Arabidopsis thaliana: one gene and its partners. The protein of the gene in region 2 interacts with the protein of the main gene of each other region in a pairwise test. Each region holds a gene or a part of one and is shown on either strand. Other genes may lie near its edges. The genes, in order: AT1G01630, AT2G23790 and LPAT2.

Region 1 (4,857 bases), on a different chromosome or scaffold from region 2:
ACAGACCAAATGTCACCGCTGGGTTTATGTGCCCACCTGTGAAACACACACACACACACACTCATCAGAATCAACTCTAAATTAAGATCTCTTTGAGAAAAATCGAAAACTAAAAGCAGAGCTACAAGGGTTTGAAGCATGCAACAAAAGACCAATTCTACTTGTATTAAGAAGATAAAAAAAATGGGGTTACCAGAGATTCCAGCAGTACAGTAGACAAGGGCAAAGATCATGCCACCGAAAGCCCAAGCAATGCCTTGGATTCCAACAGAGGCACACATGTTTGGTGCTCTCTTCACTCCCATCACTGTCAATACTGTTATGTATAGAAACAGGAAGGTGGCTATGAACTCGGCGATTCCGGCTCTGTAGAAGGACCACGAACTCAGCTCGCCTGGCTCGAAAAATGGAGCTGGTGGTGGCTCCTTGTAGTCTTTGTCCGTCTGAGCCGATGTACCTATCGGTTGCCTCTCCGGGAACTTGTTAGCTCCCACTCGAACATCCTCTTCTTTCCCTTCCATCTCTATCTAGAAAACGTTCAAGTGTTCTTTGCTTTTTTTCTTCTTTTCTACAATGGGTAATGAGAGTGGCTGAGATAGAGAAAGAATGGTTTTATAGAGGCGAGAGAGAGAGAGAATAGAAAAAGCAAAAAAAACTAACGTCTCGAAACTATTATGATATATTTAAATAATGAGAAATACAGGGAATCATGGATAACGATGATCTTCGTAAAAGCATATTTATTTACGTTAATAATTGTAATAGCCTACTACTTGATGATGTTTAATCATGTAACACAACCCACGCTTATACTAATTCTGTTGCGTTGGCTAACTATTAGTATTATATTCTGAAACTCCTTATAAAGATAGCATGTTTGACCTAATTTATTCTCAAATGCCTTGCTACAGGAGTACTACTCAGTCAGCAGTTAGAAATGTAAAAAAAAATATTACAGTGCCAGAAAACTCACAAAGGACTAACTTTTTGACTAGTCGACGAATTAATAATTTACTTCCGACCGTTGGAGAAGAAAAGGAAAAGAAGTGTGTGGAAAGCGATTGCTTTATGTAAAGTAACATAGTCTCGAACATTGTGCCGGGCCTAGAGTATTTTTAAAATGTTTAATTAAATTACTATGTGTACTACTAGTGACAAAATAATCACAATGATTGTGAATTTGAGGTTTTTCAATTAAACGATATATATTTTAGAAAAAAAGAAAATGAAAATTGGAGATAAGGTTCAATTTTGCGGGGGTTTCCAGCTCAGAAATGGATTTTGCTTTTCTGTGATCACATGTTCGTTTCCCTATTCCCACTTTCCTTTTTCTATCAATCTATTCAAACCTAACAAAAATAAAATTCAAAACTCTGTTGTTGTTATCAATTCACATATTTTTAACGCTATATGAGCCATACTTTACTAGTTAAATGGAGTTTAGTGTTTAGGATTCAAACCCTATTAGTTTTGTTGATGTTGTCTTACCCGAACAATAATTGAATTTATAAACAGATTAACTCTATTGTAGATATCGATTTTTAAAAAACTGAAAAGGGAAACAAATAATCCGAAGCTAAACTATATGATTAAGAAACACCTTTTATTGAACTAGTGGTGGGGTTTGCCATTTTTCGAAACGCAACCCACACACACACATCACAGTCGTCTAGCTGCCCAACCAACAGAATCACGACACGTGGTTGAAGAGGCAAATATGTGTTGGTGGTGTTTACTGGGGCGGTCCCGACCAAAGTCCGTATATGACATCCTTTCTCAGTTGTACAAATCACATTTCATTATAATTCATTTCATCGAATTATCTATCTTTTAAATTTTATCAATATCTTTTTTTGTTAGAGGCGTGGACCGTATGAATGTATGATAGTATAGAAATAGAAATAATAACGTTGGCATTGTTATTTAACAAGCAAACAAATGATTAGGTTGATTGATGAACAAGCAATGACTAGGTTGATGAATTTTAATTGTTACTGACTTTGTCTGTGTACGTAGCTGGTACTTAGTTGGTACATGCCTATCAAAAGAAAAACTAATATTTTGCAACGAAGCAGATCCTTCATTGCTTACATACATGTGGAAAAAGATACGATCAATATTTTAAAAAATCGTGAATTGAATTTTGTTTTATACACACAGACGACAGACAAGCTTCTGACGTGGGCTCAAAACACTAAAACGGCCTCTGAATCAGTCAACACTTTGAGGCATGAGAGATTGATTAAACCACAGACCAAGTCTTTACGACAAATCAACTCGAGCCCAATAGGCTCTAATAAGGCCCAATACGATATAATCGTCTTCTTCCTGTAGAGTCGGGGACCTGGGATTAGTCAATAAATGAGTAGAATTTTTGTAAGGAAGAGAGTAGTTGGTGAGCGTCGCCATTGAAGGGGAAAGCAGCCCAACTTTGCATTGAATGACACTTAAAATCTTTCTCTCAGCAGCTGTCTTCATTTATGATCGATCCTACTTCTTTCTTCTCTCTACCAATTTCAAGATCTGGTCGTCGCTCACAGGAGAAACGTAATGGAAAACAAAGAGACCAAGCAAGAACCAGCAGCAGCAGCTGAGCAAAAGACCGTTCCGTTGATCGAAGATGAGATCGAGAGGAGCAAAGTCGGGATCATGAGAGCTCTCTGCGACCGACAAGATCCTGAAACTAAGGTCCCTATCGATTTCTTTAAGTAAAAAAAGAATTCAACCAGAAAAGTATTGATTTGATAAAAGCCCTAATGATTTGGATTTGCAGGAGGTGGATGATCTGATGATAAGGAGGTTTCTGAGAGCGCGTGACCTGGACATTGAAAAGGCTTCAACGATGTTTCTAAATTACCTGACTTGGAAGAGAAGCATGCTCCCAAAGGGGCACATACCAGAAGCAGAGATTGCAAATGATCTATCGCATAACAAGATGTGTATGCAAGGTCATGACAAGATGGGTCGACCTATCGCTGTTGCCATTGGGAACAGACATAACCCTTCCAAAGGCAACCCTGACGAGTTCAAGCGTTTTGTTGTCTACACGCTCGAGAAGATTTGTGCTAGGTGAATAATAATAATATTACTACATACATTAAGTTAGTGTGGGTATATAAGAAACCATTTATGCTAATGCTCTTTTTTTGTTTGTTTGAATGTTGTCATGTTAGAATGCCGAGAGGTCAAGAGAAATTCGTAGCAATTGGAGATCTGCAAGGCTGGGGATATTCTAATTGTGACATCCGTGGCTACCTTGCTGCTCTTTCCACTTTGCAGGTTACTTCCTTTAATTCGCCTATCATATCTTTTGAAACAAACATTTAGGTTTTTAGCAATTATCACTAATAAAGGAAAATATTGCTAATAATCCACTTAACTCCAAATATAGAGAATTCAGTTTGACTTCCAACTAAGAAACCTTTTGTTCGTCAGTACTATTTACTATGTTTTAAAAGGTGTTTTTGTTATTTTGGAGTAGGTGATCAGGTTAAAGGTCTTTTTGTTATTTTGGTCCTTTTGGCCACACTTGGCTTCTTTTTTTTTGTTTCTCTTTGTTTATGGATTTTTTTTGAAAAGGAACTTTCATGATTGTAATCCTATTTTTAGCAAAATATTGCGTTAGTAATATTGTTCATGGTCGTGAGTCCTGACAGTGAGTAACCCCCACATTAAGAAAACCTTGTTTTACAGGATTGTTACCCAGAGAGATTAGGGAAACTCTATATAGTTCATGCCCCCTACATTTTCATGACCGCATGGAAGGTCATTTATCCTTTTATCGACGCCAACACCAAGAAAAAGGTACATTGATTTGCTCTGCTTCACAATCACTTTATTAGTATGTTTTAAGACTGTGTTGGAAAATTTGATTGTTAATTTCGTGTTTTTTTGGGGGGGCAGATTGTTTTCGTGGAGAACAAGAAACTCACTCCAACGCTGCTTGAAGACATAGACGAAAGCCAACTTCCCGACATCTACGGAGGCAAATTGCCACTTGTTCCTATTCAGGAGACCTGATTATAGGTCTTACTACGGCCCACCTCTATTTCCAAATTATTACTTACTAGTATTATTTTTTATTTGAATAAAATGAAAAACATATTGAGTGTCGCCAAATGCCAACAATTATATATTTACTGTCAAAGAAGCTAAAAGATATAATATTGAAAACACCTTTAAATTTCATGTAATTTTTCATAATTATCTATCTACTGTGATCTAGCCATAATACTTCGGCAACTATACAATTTCAGTCTAGCTTGCTGTTGCTCTTCCCTGCAAATCTAACACACAACTTGTTCCAACTAGAATTCTAAACCAAAACAACAAAATAATATAAAAGAGGTTTAATTTATGAAGGGTACATTGAAAAAAAGAAAACACCTTGAATTGATAATCCATAAAACAAGTCTTTACTAATATTTTCACTCTTATTAGAAAGAAAAGAAGAAACCATCAAATCCCCTTTGGCAAGTGAGATCGATCCACTTACACAAGCTGTTTGTTCACCAGATGCGTGGGCGAGTATTACCATTTAGAGGAGCTCCATGATCTTTGGCTTTGGCTTTGGTCTCTCTCAGATAAGCCCGAGTGATCTCCACGCTTAGATCCGGGTTCCTCTGCACAAACGTCTCATATTTCATGGGAACAACCACTTCTTCCATATGTTTGACAATATGATTGATAGCCGCGTCTTTCAAGATTGTGTCACAAGGTATACTGGCGAGCTCTAAGATGTCTAGGACGTTCCTAGAGCTCAGAGATGCGATGAAATGGTTACGGCATACGTCTTGCAGATATGAAATGTCGTACTTATCTGCAGCCAGATATAGGGATCGGTATTGATTGTATGGA
Region 2 (4,722 bases):
AGAAATTGTAGAATAGTCAGTTAACCCATAACTTAGCTTACCTCTTACATTATAAATTGATAATAGTACCCTTTTTGTGCAAAACAAAATAATAATAGTATTTGGATGTATATCAGCTATCAGCATTGGTTGGGTCTAATTATTTAAGTGGCCACTTGCTGGCATCACCATTAGCACCAAGTCAGTGTTGGTATTGTAATCATATTAAGCACTACTTCTTAGGCATAATTGACCACTTCTATCTAATTAAGTAAATTATTGTTTTTTCAAACCAATTTGCTAATGTAATAAATTTGGATTTCTGTTTTTTGCCAAACTATTTGTCAAATTTGTGGACATTGCTTGTCACCTTCCAATAAGTTTGTAACTAGTGGCTGCAATACTATGCATGTGTCAGTATATAACTTGTTTAGTACTCTAATAATTTTACCAAATTGTTAATTATAGCTCCCCAACAATCGGGAGACTTCTTAAAGCTTGACGAACATATGCCGAAAGTATAAACGACAAATAGCGATCATTCAAATAACGTTTTCTTTGAAATAAACACGTTACCGACCATATGGTGATAAAATCGTATGTAACAAATAATGTTATACATATTTTTATGTTTTGTACAAATAACATGAGATTTCGAGTATATTATAAAATTATAACAACATGTTTGAAATCAATTAAAAAGTATATTTTTTGCAAAAAAAAAAAAACTCTAAAAAGAAATATCATCATAATTAACCCAAGAAACGACAAAAAAGAAAAATTAACACAAAAAAAATATGTAATTTTCTTCTGTTAACACAAACGTTTATCTGATTTATATAAACCTTTCAAAGGATTAGTCTTTCCATAGCAATGTATCCCAAAAAGATATTCGTTTGGTTCACTCCGAAAACTAAAACCTTAATTCAAAAATTTGATAGTTTTCCATTATTTTTTTGTCTAGTTGTGAGTTTGTTCCATCCTAACACGTGAAGTGAACACTTATCTATTTGTTCCACTTGCTTGTTCTTCTATACTATATATTTTTCTCAACCATCCAAAAACATGCTTCTTTCTTTTTCACTTCATTTCACAAATGTTTTGTGTATGTTCAAGATTCTTGGTATTGTTGTTCTATACTATATGTTTCTCGTACATTGGAAACCATAACTCCATACTCGAATAGAAAAAAAAAAAATTAATCTAATTTTAAGAGAAAGGTTTCTTTTAAAAAAAAATTTTTCCTTTTAAAAAAGTCTTTTTCCTTTTAAAAAAAAATTTTGGTAAATCTTTTTATGAGTTATGTGTATGAGAATTTTTGTCTCTACATTTTGGAGTTCGATTTTCGTTTTAGTTTAGGATGGTGAAGTATTTACAAAAAAGAAATCTATTTGCGAACCTAAATATCGAATAATCGTATCTTTAGATGTAGATGGATTAGTACATATCGTGATATCGATAGATCCACACATAGTTTGTAACAAAAATTATCAAAATGACTACTAGTAAAAGTGTATTTATCAAAATAATCTAGTAGTTAGTTAAAGTTGATTTAAAAAGAAAAGGAAAAGTATGTGGATCCACGTCAGGTTGCGTGCACGTAAAAGTCTTTTCATTCCCTAGTTCTTCTGCTCTGTTGCCGTTGTGAACAAATTTAGGTTTCTAAAAACAAAAACTAACACTTGTTTTGGGAAATCGCTATAATCGAACGGCTACGATACCACCGCAAAGCTATCACCTCTACCAACCCGAACACGTGTACGTCTCTCATCACTTCCACATTTCTCGCGAGAAAAACCAAAAGAGTTTCGTAAAAAAAACGAATATTCCTGCTGTAATATTAATTTCTCGTGTACGTTCCGATATACGCTGACGTGTACGAGTCTCTTTATTTTTAGGTTTAAAAAAACAATGTTATTATTTGTAAACAGTATATAAACCCTTTTAGTCTCTATTGTTTCATTATTCAGTCGTAAAATAAAACCGAATTTGATTTTTATTTTTCTCTCTCAAAGTTTTTCTTGGGAGAGCAACAATGGCGATGAGGAAGCTTTTATCGAAGAAACTCTTCAATATCACGAATGTTGCTTCACAGAGTCTTATGAATTGTCGCATTTCGTCTTCTTCGTTAGCCGTACGAACCAGAGTTCCGAATGATTCAACAGATACAACCAAAATCGCACCGGAGCCTGGAGATTTGGCGATGTCGCGAAGGTTCATGCATAACAGTGCTATGATTAGGCCGGCGGAGATTATGCAGATGCCGGTGGGAGAGAGTTTGATTGAGAAACTCCGTGAGATTGATGGAAGCAAGGATCGGATTCGATTAGACGGACTTTCTCCGCCGGAGAGGGAGACGAGTTTGACGGTGGCGGATACGAAGAAGCTGCTTAGAGCGGCGCAGATCGAGATTGTGAAATCGAAGCTAAGAGAAACGGGAAGAAGCTGGATGCCGTATAAGGAGTTTGTTAGCGTTTGTGGTGAAGCTTCTTCAGATCCAGATCTCGGATCTAAAATCGCGAAGATGCTTGATGATTCAGCAAACGTCATCGTTTTGGGAGATTCCGTTTGTATTAGACCTGATCAGGTACTTTCTTCGTTCTTCTTCTCTAGCCTTTTAGCATTTTGAAATCGTGCTTTGTCTCTGAGATCTCTCTGAGTATTGCAGCTGATTGATTGGGAGAGATAAGAGAGAGATTTAAAAACTCTCTGAAAAAAACGGATTAGGTTCTCAAAAGTTTTTGTTCGATTTTGATTTTGGAAGCTATACCGAAAACTGATACCATTTTTATTCGGTTGGATCTCTTTTCTTTTGGTTCCAATTCAACAGGAGAATCAAAAACCTCTGTGTTTTTACCAGAGTTCCATAGGAGGTTCCCAAGTTTGAGAGAGATGGTGATAAAGAGGAACAGTTTCTACAGAGACCACAACTCTTTTTTTTTCCCCTAAAAAAAAAACCATTGGTTGGATTAGGGTTATAAATTGAGTCAAGACCCTTTGGTGATTTGATACCAAAACCTAAACATAAAAAAACTTCAAAAGAGAGAGTTGAGAGAAGCTTACTAACTGGTTCTTGGGGGTTATTAGAAAGTTTATAGAGATGATGATGATAATGGGTTGGGTTTATGTGGAGGGATTAGTCAATAGTGGAAGATCTTAACCAGAAACAGGGATATGGGGATGGATTGATTGACTTTATAAACTAGTCATTGATTCATAAAGATGTATTTTTGTTGTGTGTTTTTGAGTGTGCTAATTGTGTGTCTCAAAAGAAGGTGGTGGAGGTCTTGTTTTACCCAGACATTTTCTGTTTTTGTCTTTTGCTATTGTGTTTGATCAGGTTACCAAATCCATTGAAGGACTGCTTCCTTTGCCAAAGATCCATAACCCAAATGACCCTCGGAGAATCGAGTTTAAAGAGCTTGAAGCTGAAAAGGCAGTGATCGATGTGAAAGCTCACACTTTGGTGCGGAAAGAGCTTTGGGCTGGTCTCGGTTACTTGATCCTACAGACTGCGGGGTTCATGAGGCTAACGTTTTGGGAACTCTCGTGGGACGTGATGGAGCCAATCTGTTTCTATGTCACGTCCGTGTACTTTATGGCTGGTTACGCGTTTTTCCTCAGGACATCGAAAGAGCCTTCTTTTGAAGGGTTTTACCAAAGCAGGTTCGAGGCGAAACAGAGAAAGTTGATGAATGAGTATGAGTTTGATCTGGAGAGGTATAATGAACTGAAGAAGCTGTTTTGCTCTAAGCCTTCGGATCATGTTTCCAAGATTCTTGGAGCTATCAAGAGTTAAAATTTTGATTAGGGGAAAAATTGCTTAGATTCAATGTTGTTGTCACAAATGGTGTCTGATTTTACCTAACTAGAGAATTCTACCCCAAAAAAAAGTAAGAAAAAAACGAATGGGTACTACTCTCAAATTTTTCAGTTTTCGAAAAAAAGACAAAGAGGTTGTTCTTATTATTGCGGCTTATGTAACATCAGCGAAGAGTTATGTTTTTGTTTTCGATTTTTATTTTTTATTTTTTTTATTTTTTTATTTTATGACCGATCTAAAATTTAACATTGTGTAAATAAATGTTTGAAGGTGTAATATAATACAGAATTAATTATCTGCAGATTTCATATTTGCAAAAACTAAATGAGATCTATTTTTTTCTAACAAGCGTTTGTGAAAGTACAACTACATTTATAATTTCGTTGTCATGTTATAAATCGAATCAAATCCGATAGCGTGATTCTCCTCCGTAATGGGACGGGTTTTTGTCACATAATAAATTAATAATATCCTTTCATAATTTATTAATTTTAATTAATAATAGTGGAGAATTGACCTTTTGCTATTAATTTTTATGAATCCAGAGAATTAATACTATTGAATAAAAAAACATTTTTTTAGCTCACCAAATATTGGAAAATATTATAATTACATATATCAAATATATTATTATATCATCAGTTATATAAAATAGATGTACATATTACATGACCTTGTGTATGAAATATACGTTGTCATGTATTTAACATCATAGATATATAATTTTGGTATACAGATAAATTAATTTTAATGAAAACTAACACTAATCGATCGGCGTTCACCAACAAAAATATATATCAAACGTTTAGGTTTGACTCTCTGCAATTTCTTTTCCTTTAAATTTTATAATCCTTCGGGAATCTAGTTTACGTTTAAAACGAGCTTTTGGCATCATTTTATCTACCAAAATGTGTTGTTGT
Region 3 (6,650 bases), on a different chromosome or scaffold from region 2:
CAAGTAAAAATCTGTGAAGTAAATATATGAACTTTTGCTTGTCTCTGGCAAAAATCTGAATGGTAATGTTTCAGACTGAAGCCAAAATGGCATTGGCATTGTCTCTGCGTCATGTGTGTCTCATCTGCGATCTACAGTTTGATGGATAATTTGCAGAATTCTCAATCAGCATGATGCTATGTTTATGAATCATGTAAGCAGAAACGACTCCTGTTTACGTTATATCAATGTTTCCATGGGTTTTGTTAGTTAAAGATTGCCGCTGGAAGCGTGTGCGTATACTATCACTGAGAAGAAAGATGAAGACAAGCCAAAGATGATCGTAGTAGCTTAAGGAACTCAAGTGGATTCAGACATCACTTTAGAGATCGAAATAGGGTTTGAGAATTGGAAAACAGTGTGAAAATAAGCTAAAGCAGTTGCAATCTCCTCAGTTATATTCATTGCAACGTTCGATGAGATCTTCTAACAGCATCTCCCCCCTCTAGCTCTTGATATCTTATTCCTCAACTAATCGAGAAACACTTAACTTTGAAAAATAAAATGACAAAACTTGAAGACCTCACACACTCTCAGTTGATCAAAACGAAGAACACTAGCTAAGATATAAAGTCAAGCTGTCGTTGTTGAATATCCCACAAAGTCGTCCTTCCAAGAAAAAGCTCACAACAAGACTTGCGGACTAATTTCATAGTTCTTTCTACATCACCTGAAAACTAGTTAGGAAGCTAAGGCTTTCTCTGTTTTTTTTTTGTTTGTCATTGTTCCACTGGTTCTTTGCTACAATTTAGGAGACTAGAACAAAACTAAATTTTTTGTTTGGTTATACAATGCAAAAAAATATCTGCAAAATAAGTGATTTAGTCTCTAACCGAGAAAAAAGTAATTAAAAACAGAGCAATTACTAACTATAATTTCTGGTGTCATTTTGAGACTATAGTTAAAACTTACAAGCAATGTTTTACATAAATCATTTTTAAAATTATAAGTAAAAATGTTGGCGCCTCAGTATTTCAGGTTCGATTCCCATTGTTCTTTTTCAAATTGGATAATTTAGTCCACATTGACAAAAAGAAAGAAAAATCATAATATGTTTAAGGATGCGTCAAGTGTATGCATATATATTGTTGTAAAAAGAAAAAAGGTGTATGCATACGTTTCTAACATATTTTGTCTGGCAGTCAACTATTTGTTATGAATATGTACAATCACATAGAAATGATAGCATGTGGCTATGTTACGTGAATTAAGGCAAATGATCTTACGTAGGGAAAATTGTAACTAAAAACTCAACAACCCTTATTTGTTTTTTTTGTTATCTTTTCCACTTTGCTGCAAAATTTATTGGAGAATCTGAATAAAGCGGTGAGCATAGTACAGCTGAAAATAACTAGATGATGAACTTGTTCTTTAGTTTGTTTTGATTCTTCATTATATTTAAAGAAAATTTGGTTAGATAGATCAACCACTTCAACAATACTTTTGTAACTTCAAATATTTAATAACAAAAAAATTAAAAAATGTTTGAACTTTACTGAAATGAAATTTCGATATTAGAATACTAAAGAATCAAACGTGCACTTAAATATCATTTAGTTTATATTTATACAAACCATGAAAGACTCTCATACTTTACACCGCACATAAACAATCAGAACCATACCAAACCATGTGAATAGAATCACAAAGACGTCATGCTTTAATTTACAAGCAAAAAAACAAAAGGCATCGGCTAGAGAATAGCAAAAAGAGGAAGAATTGAACGGAAAAATTGAAAACATATGGAACAAAGTGGAGCACTTAAACATCCACGGTAATATTAGTATATTAGTCACCTTCAGACTAGGGCCAGACATGAACAAAGGATTCGATGTTAGTGACAAGTAGCATATCAGACTAATAAGGATATATATTAAGCGGTATGGGTAACACATTAATCCTTTCTCCAATTACATTCTCTTTAAGGTTCTAAGATCCGCCACTAGGCCATTTTATTGGTAAAAGTAAAACCATTTTGGTGGTCGTCTATGAGTGTTAAGAATTATGTAACAATTTTTTTGGATTCACCTGAAATAAATCTGTTGATTTGAAATATTTGGACGTTACATTTCCATATATAAGCTTACCATACAAACATTATAATTAATTGGAAAGTCCAGCTAGCACTTTTTACCACATGCAAAGGGAATTAATCCTAACTTAAAAAATTAGGAGTAATCACATCTTGGTAGTGTATACCGATCAATTTCCGACAGACGTTTTTTTTTTCCTTGCCCATTGATTGCATAGTTCAAAACTTCAAAGTTGGCCAATCCAACCAAGTCGAAGAGATAGGAGATGTTTTGAAGTATGAAAACAAATAGAGGGGCTAAAATCAAAATAACAAGAAAAAACGCTTCTGCCGTGTTCGAATGTGTCCTCGTGATCATCTCCGTATATAATCAATCAATCAATAAAAATCCAGAGTTACAAACACTCTTCTCAAAATTTTCCCATTAAATCGCAAAGTTAATTTTGCGATTTTTTTTCTCTTTTTTTCTGGTTGGGTTATTTATTTTCCCCTTTTAAAAAACTTCTGCAACTTGTCTTGAAATCTGGGGTAAAATATTTCTTCATTGGTTTCTGGAAATCTCGGGGAACGATTTGTTGGGTTTTCTTCTTTGTACTCTCTCCTCACATTAGCTTTTGTTGGTGGGATTTTTTGAGGATGGTGATTGCTGCAGCTGTCATCGTGCCTTTGGGCCTTCTCTTCTTCATATCTGGTCTCGCTGTCAATCTCTTTCAGGTTTGGTTTCTGATTCGTTTCTGGTGTTACTCTTTTTAGATTCCGTTGTTGTTCTACATTGTAGATCCTTTCTTCTTTTGTTTTGATTCACTGCTTTTAGGGTTTCCTTCTCCAGAAACTTTGATTCTTTCGTTTTTGTCGGTGATTGTGTCTTAATTCTGAGTGTGCATATGAGAGTATAAGCTCGAAATTGACTCGTGGAGCTCATGCACTGAGCTATAGAGTGTTGTTTGATTCTGCGATTAAGTATCACTTTCTTCAGATTTATCTTGATTTCTATGTTGATTGAATCGAGGAAGGAATCTTTTTTTCTCTCAACTTCGTTTGCTTCAGTTTTGATGTTTACTACTACATATTGTTGTTTCAGGCAGTTTGCTATGTACTCATTCGACCACTGTCTAAGAACACATACAGAAAAATTAACCGGGTGGTTGCAGAAACCTTGTGGTTGGAGCTTGTATGGATAGTTGACTGGTGGGCTGGAGTTAAGGTATCCACAAGCTTTCTCCTTTTTACTAAATGGTTGTTAAGCTTGGATTTTGTTTTATCTTATCTAACTCTATGAGTTCCTCTCAAATTTCTTGTTTCTTTTCCCTTAGATCCAAGTGTTTGCTGATAATGAGACCTTCAATCGAATGGGTAAGTTCATATGCTTATTGGCAATCAAATCAGTTTCTGATGTCTTCAAGATATAAAATTCCTATGTAAGAACGAATCTGTAACTTCATTGACTGTCCTACTATTTTTTTCTAGGCAAAGAACATGCTCTTGTCGTTTGTAATCACCGAAGTGATATTGATTGGCTTGTGGGATGGATTCTGGCTCAGGTACATAATTTCACCTCACAGTTTCATCTATCTTCCTACGTTTTTGTTTGAATGCATAAATGGAGATCAACATAATAGACTTCTTGATGAGAAAGCATGTATACTTGCAATGGGACCATGTATTGCTTCCAAGTATCTACTTAAGAAAGATTATCTTAGGTAGAAGGTGACAGTCCCTAGTGATCATCTGATGAGATATGAGAGAGTATAGCATCATCATATTTTCTCTTAACACGCTCCCTGTTATGCTGTTTACATCTTTTAATCTATTGTTTCATATTTTCTTTCCTTGCAGCGGTCAGGTTGCCTGGGAAGCGCATTAGCTGTAATGAAGAAGTCTTCCAAATTCCTTCCAGTATGTGAATATTTTAGCTTACTGCTGTGTGCTTGCTAGATTTGAGAGAAAATAGTAGTAATCTTTAATTCTATTTCTGAATCTCTTCTATAAGTTAGAAATTTGATACCTGGCTTTGCGTTTGAGAAAAAATCATTGTTTTAGGTTAATACACTTCTCCGCCTTTTTTATCTGTTACATATTCATAGTACTCATAAACAGAATTTTCACACACATACAGGTCATAGGCTGGTCAATGTGGTTCTCGGAGTATCTCTTTCTGGAAAGAAATTGGGCCAAGGATGAAAGCACTCTAAAGGTATGGGTTTATAGTATCCTTGTGCAACTCATTTAGTTTTTGCTCCTGTGTAAAATGCTTATTAGCACGTGCAGCTACCTCGTTCATGAGGGGATTAGCCTAAAAATGCAGAATCTTCATTTCCAGACCATGAGTTATGTGTGTTTGTCTAAATTTACAGTCAGGTCTTCAGCGCTTGAGCGACTTCCCTCGACCTTTCTGGTTAGCCCTTTTTGTGGAGGGAACTCGCTTTACAGAAGCCAAACTTAAAGCCGCACAAGAGTATGCAGCCTCCTCTGAATTGCCTATCCCTCGAAATGTGTTGATTCCTCGCACCAAAGTAAGTTGTAATATTTTTCTTTTGTTCATTCCTGGGGCAACTTGATATCTTCTCTGTGTCCTTTAAAAAGCAAAATGATTGCTATGATGATCCAAAATCTCAATGCATGGGTAGCCTTTATACGTTTCATTTTCATCAGATCGACTTGGTGGTTGTTATTGTGATTTCTGCCCTAATTACTAGACTTGCTTGTATTTTTGTTTCAGGGTTTCGTGTCAGCTGTTAGTAATATGCGTTCATTTGTCCCAGCAATTTATGATATGACAGTGACTATTCCAAAAACCTCTCCACCACCCACGATGCTAAGACTATTCAAAGGACAACCTTCAGTGGTAAGCAAGCAAAAATATGAATAGGTCGTATAGCAGTTGAATCTTGCACTCTTCTCACAACAAATTTCAAAGTATGCACTGGCTTGGATCACATCACCATCCAATTTACTGAAACGAACATAACTCTTTATATCACCTTTACTTTTATAATGTGTAAGAAACCGTAGGACTCATCCCATCCCAAGCCTTTTTCTTTTAAAACCTCCTGCGCCATTAACGCAAACCATTGCTGCTGGTTTCAAGGTGCATGTTCACATCAAGTGTCACTCGATGAAAGACTTACCTGAATCAGATGACGCAATTGCACAGTGGTGCAGAGATCAGTTTGTGGCTAAGGTAAAAATTATGGATGTACTGGTATTTCCACGTTTCAGTTATTGGCAATAATATATTTGGTCAAGATTTGATAGAGAAAAGCTTGGAAAAGCTTTCATTTTGGTATTCTCTCATCTCGTCTCTGTGATACAGGATGCTCTGTTAGACAAACACATAGCTGCAGACACTTTCCCCGGTCAACAAGAACAGAACATTGGCCGTCCCATAAAGTCCCTTGCGGTGAGTCTATAAAATTCATAACATTCTCTTGGTTCCATCTATAAACTCACAAATCTCTTGATCTTTTTCTCAGGTGGTTCTATCATGGGCATGCGTACTAACTCTTGGAGCAATAAAGTTCCTACACTGGGCACAACTCTTTTCTTCATGGAAAGGTATCACGATATCGGCGCTTGGTCTAGGTATCATCACTCTCTGTATGCAGATCCTGATACGCTCGTCTCAGTCAGAGCGTTCGACCCCAGCCAAAGTCGTCCCAGCCAAGCCAAAAGACAATCACCACCCAGAATCATCCTCCCAAACAGAAACGGAGAAGGAGAAGTAAAAACTGGTTCTCACAGATCCAAACATCAAACACAACAAGAAGAAGCGCGTGTCAGTTTTGTTATAAGAAACAGAAAACCAAAAAAAAAAGACATCCAAATGAAAAATCCCTTAATATTATCAACTCCGTTTTGTTCAGCTACTATATTACTACTACTACTACTACGCAGCCTATGTCTCTTAGTCGATTGATGTATAGGGTCATGATCAAATCAACGATTTAATCCCTATAGTCCCTTGGGATTTTTTTTCTCAAGTGCATAGGCCTTGTATAACTTTCTATTTTTAGATTGGAATTTGGGATTGATATTAGACATTTTCCTTTTATTATTAAACTGTTTTGTTCCTTGGTTCTCATTGCTAGTGTAGAATTTATTAGGCACAAAACATGTTATTACAAGACGTTTTAGAAGAAAAAACAGAATTTATTCATGTACATAAATTATCTGACTAGACTAATCCTACTGGGACTTAATTGTGATTAGACAAAAAAAAATTCATTTTGAGAAGAAAAAACAGAAACCCGTTCATGGAATTAACTGAGATTAGACAAATTCAACTACAGTATGACGGTGATTACAGGGAGAATATCGTAAAAGAACAGGTTTTATTTTCTTCCATTTTTGATAGAACACATTTTTTTTTTTTTAATGAGTGTATAATATAATAAACACAATTTTTATTTTAGTTTTCTCAACCCTAAAACTAAAACCCTTTCACGCCGATTCAAAAGAAAAAAAAAACCTTCACAAGTCCGGTTGCTCGCGCCGCTTTTCTCTCTGTTTTCAAACTCCGATTAAAGTCCCGACTTGTATCAATTGATAAACCCTAATTGTCTCCGTTCTTGCTGAAACA

Evidence for each region.
Region 1: the proteins of AT2G23790 (region 2) and AT1G01630 interact in a protein complementation assay, tested with the Arabidopsis thaliana proteins (one large-scale study listed by BioGRID).
Region 3: the proteins of AT2G23790 (region 2) and LPAT2 interact in a protein complementation assay, tested with the Arabidopsis thaliana proteins (one large-scale study listed by BioGRID).

What each region holds. Positions count from the first base shown.
Region 1 is NC_003070.9:226,656-231,512, forward strand, and holds AT1G01630 (Sec14p-like phosphatidylinositol transfer family protein), read left to right. Parts: upstream 1-2,143; 5' UTR 2,144-2,550; coding exon 2,551-2,688; intron 2,689-2,773; coding exon 2,774-3,069; intron 3,070-3,173; coding exon 3,174-3,279; intron 3,280-3,693; coding exon 3,694-3,804; intron 3,805-3,903; coding exon 3,904-4,020; 3' UTR 4,021-4,324; downstream 4,325-4,857. Other genes in the region: PIP1C (plasma membrane intrinsic protein 1C), read right to left, coding at 1-36, 194-521; AT1G01640 (BTB/POZ domain-containing protein), read right to left, coding at 4,509-4,857.
Region 2 is NC_003071.7:10,124,748-10,129,469, reverse strand, and holds AT2G23790 (calcium uniporter (DUF607)), read left to right. Parts: upstream 1-1,880; 5' UTR 1,881-2,014; coding exon 2,015-2,566; intron 2,567-3,319; coding exon 3,320-3,778; 3' UTR 3,779-4,103; downstream 4,104-4,722. UniProt on the Arabidopsis thaliana protein: Mitochondrial inner membrane calcium uniporter that mediates calcium uptake into mitochondria. Constitutes a pore-forming and calcium-conducting subunit.
Region 3 is NC_003074.8:21,347,044-21,353,693, forward strand, and holds LPAT2 (lysophosphatidyl acyltransferase 2), read left to right. Parts: upstream 1-2,339; 5' UTR 2,340-2,707; coding exon 2,708-2,785; intron 2,786-3,152; coding exon 3,153-3,275; intron 3,276-3,384; coding exon 3,385-3,424; intron 3,425-3,538; coding exon 3,539-3,612; intron 3,613-3,907; coding exon 3,908-3,967; intron 3,968-4,187; coding exon 4,188-4,265; intron 4,266-4,425; coding exon 4,426-4,584; intron 4,585-4,790; coding exon 4,791-4,916; intron 4,917-5,159; coding exon 5,160-5,252; intron 5,253-5,384; coding exon 5,385-5,471; intron 5,472-5,544; coding exon 5,545-5,796; 3' UTR 5,797-6,150; downstream 6,151-6,650. UniProt on the Arabidopsis thaliana protein: Converts lysophosphatidic acid (LPA) into phosphatidic acid by incorporating acyl moiety at the 2 position. Has preference for C-18-CoA substrates compared to C-16-CoA substrates. Required for female but not male gametophyte development.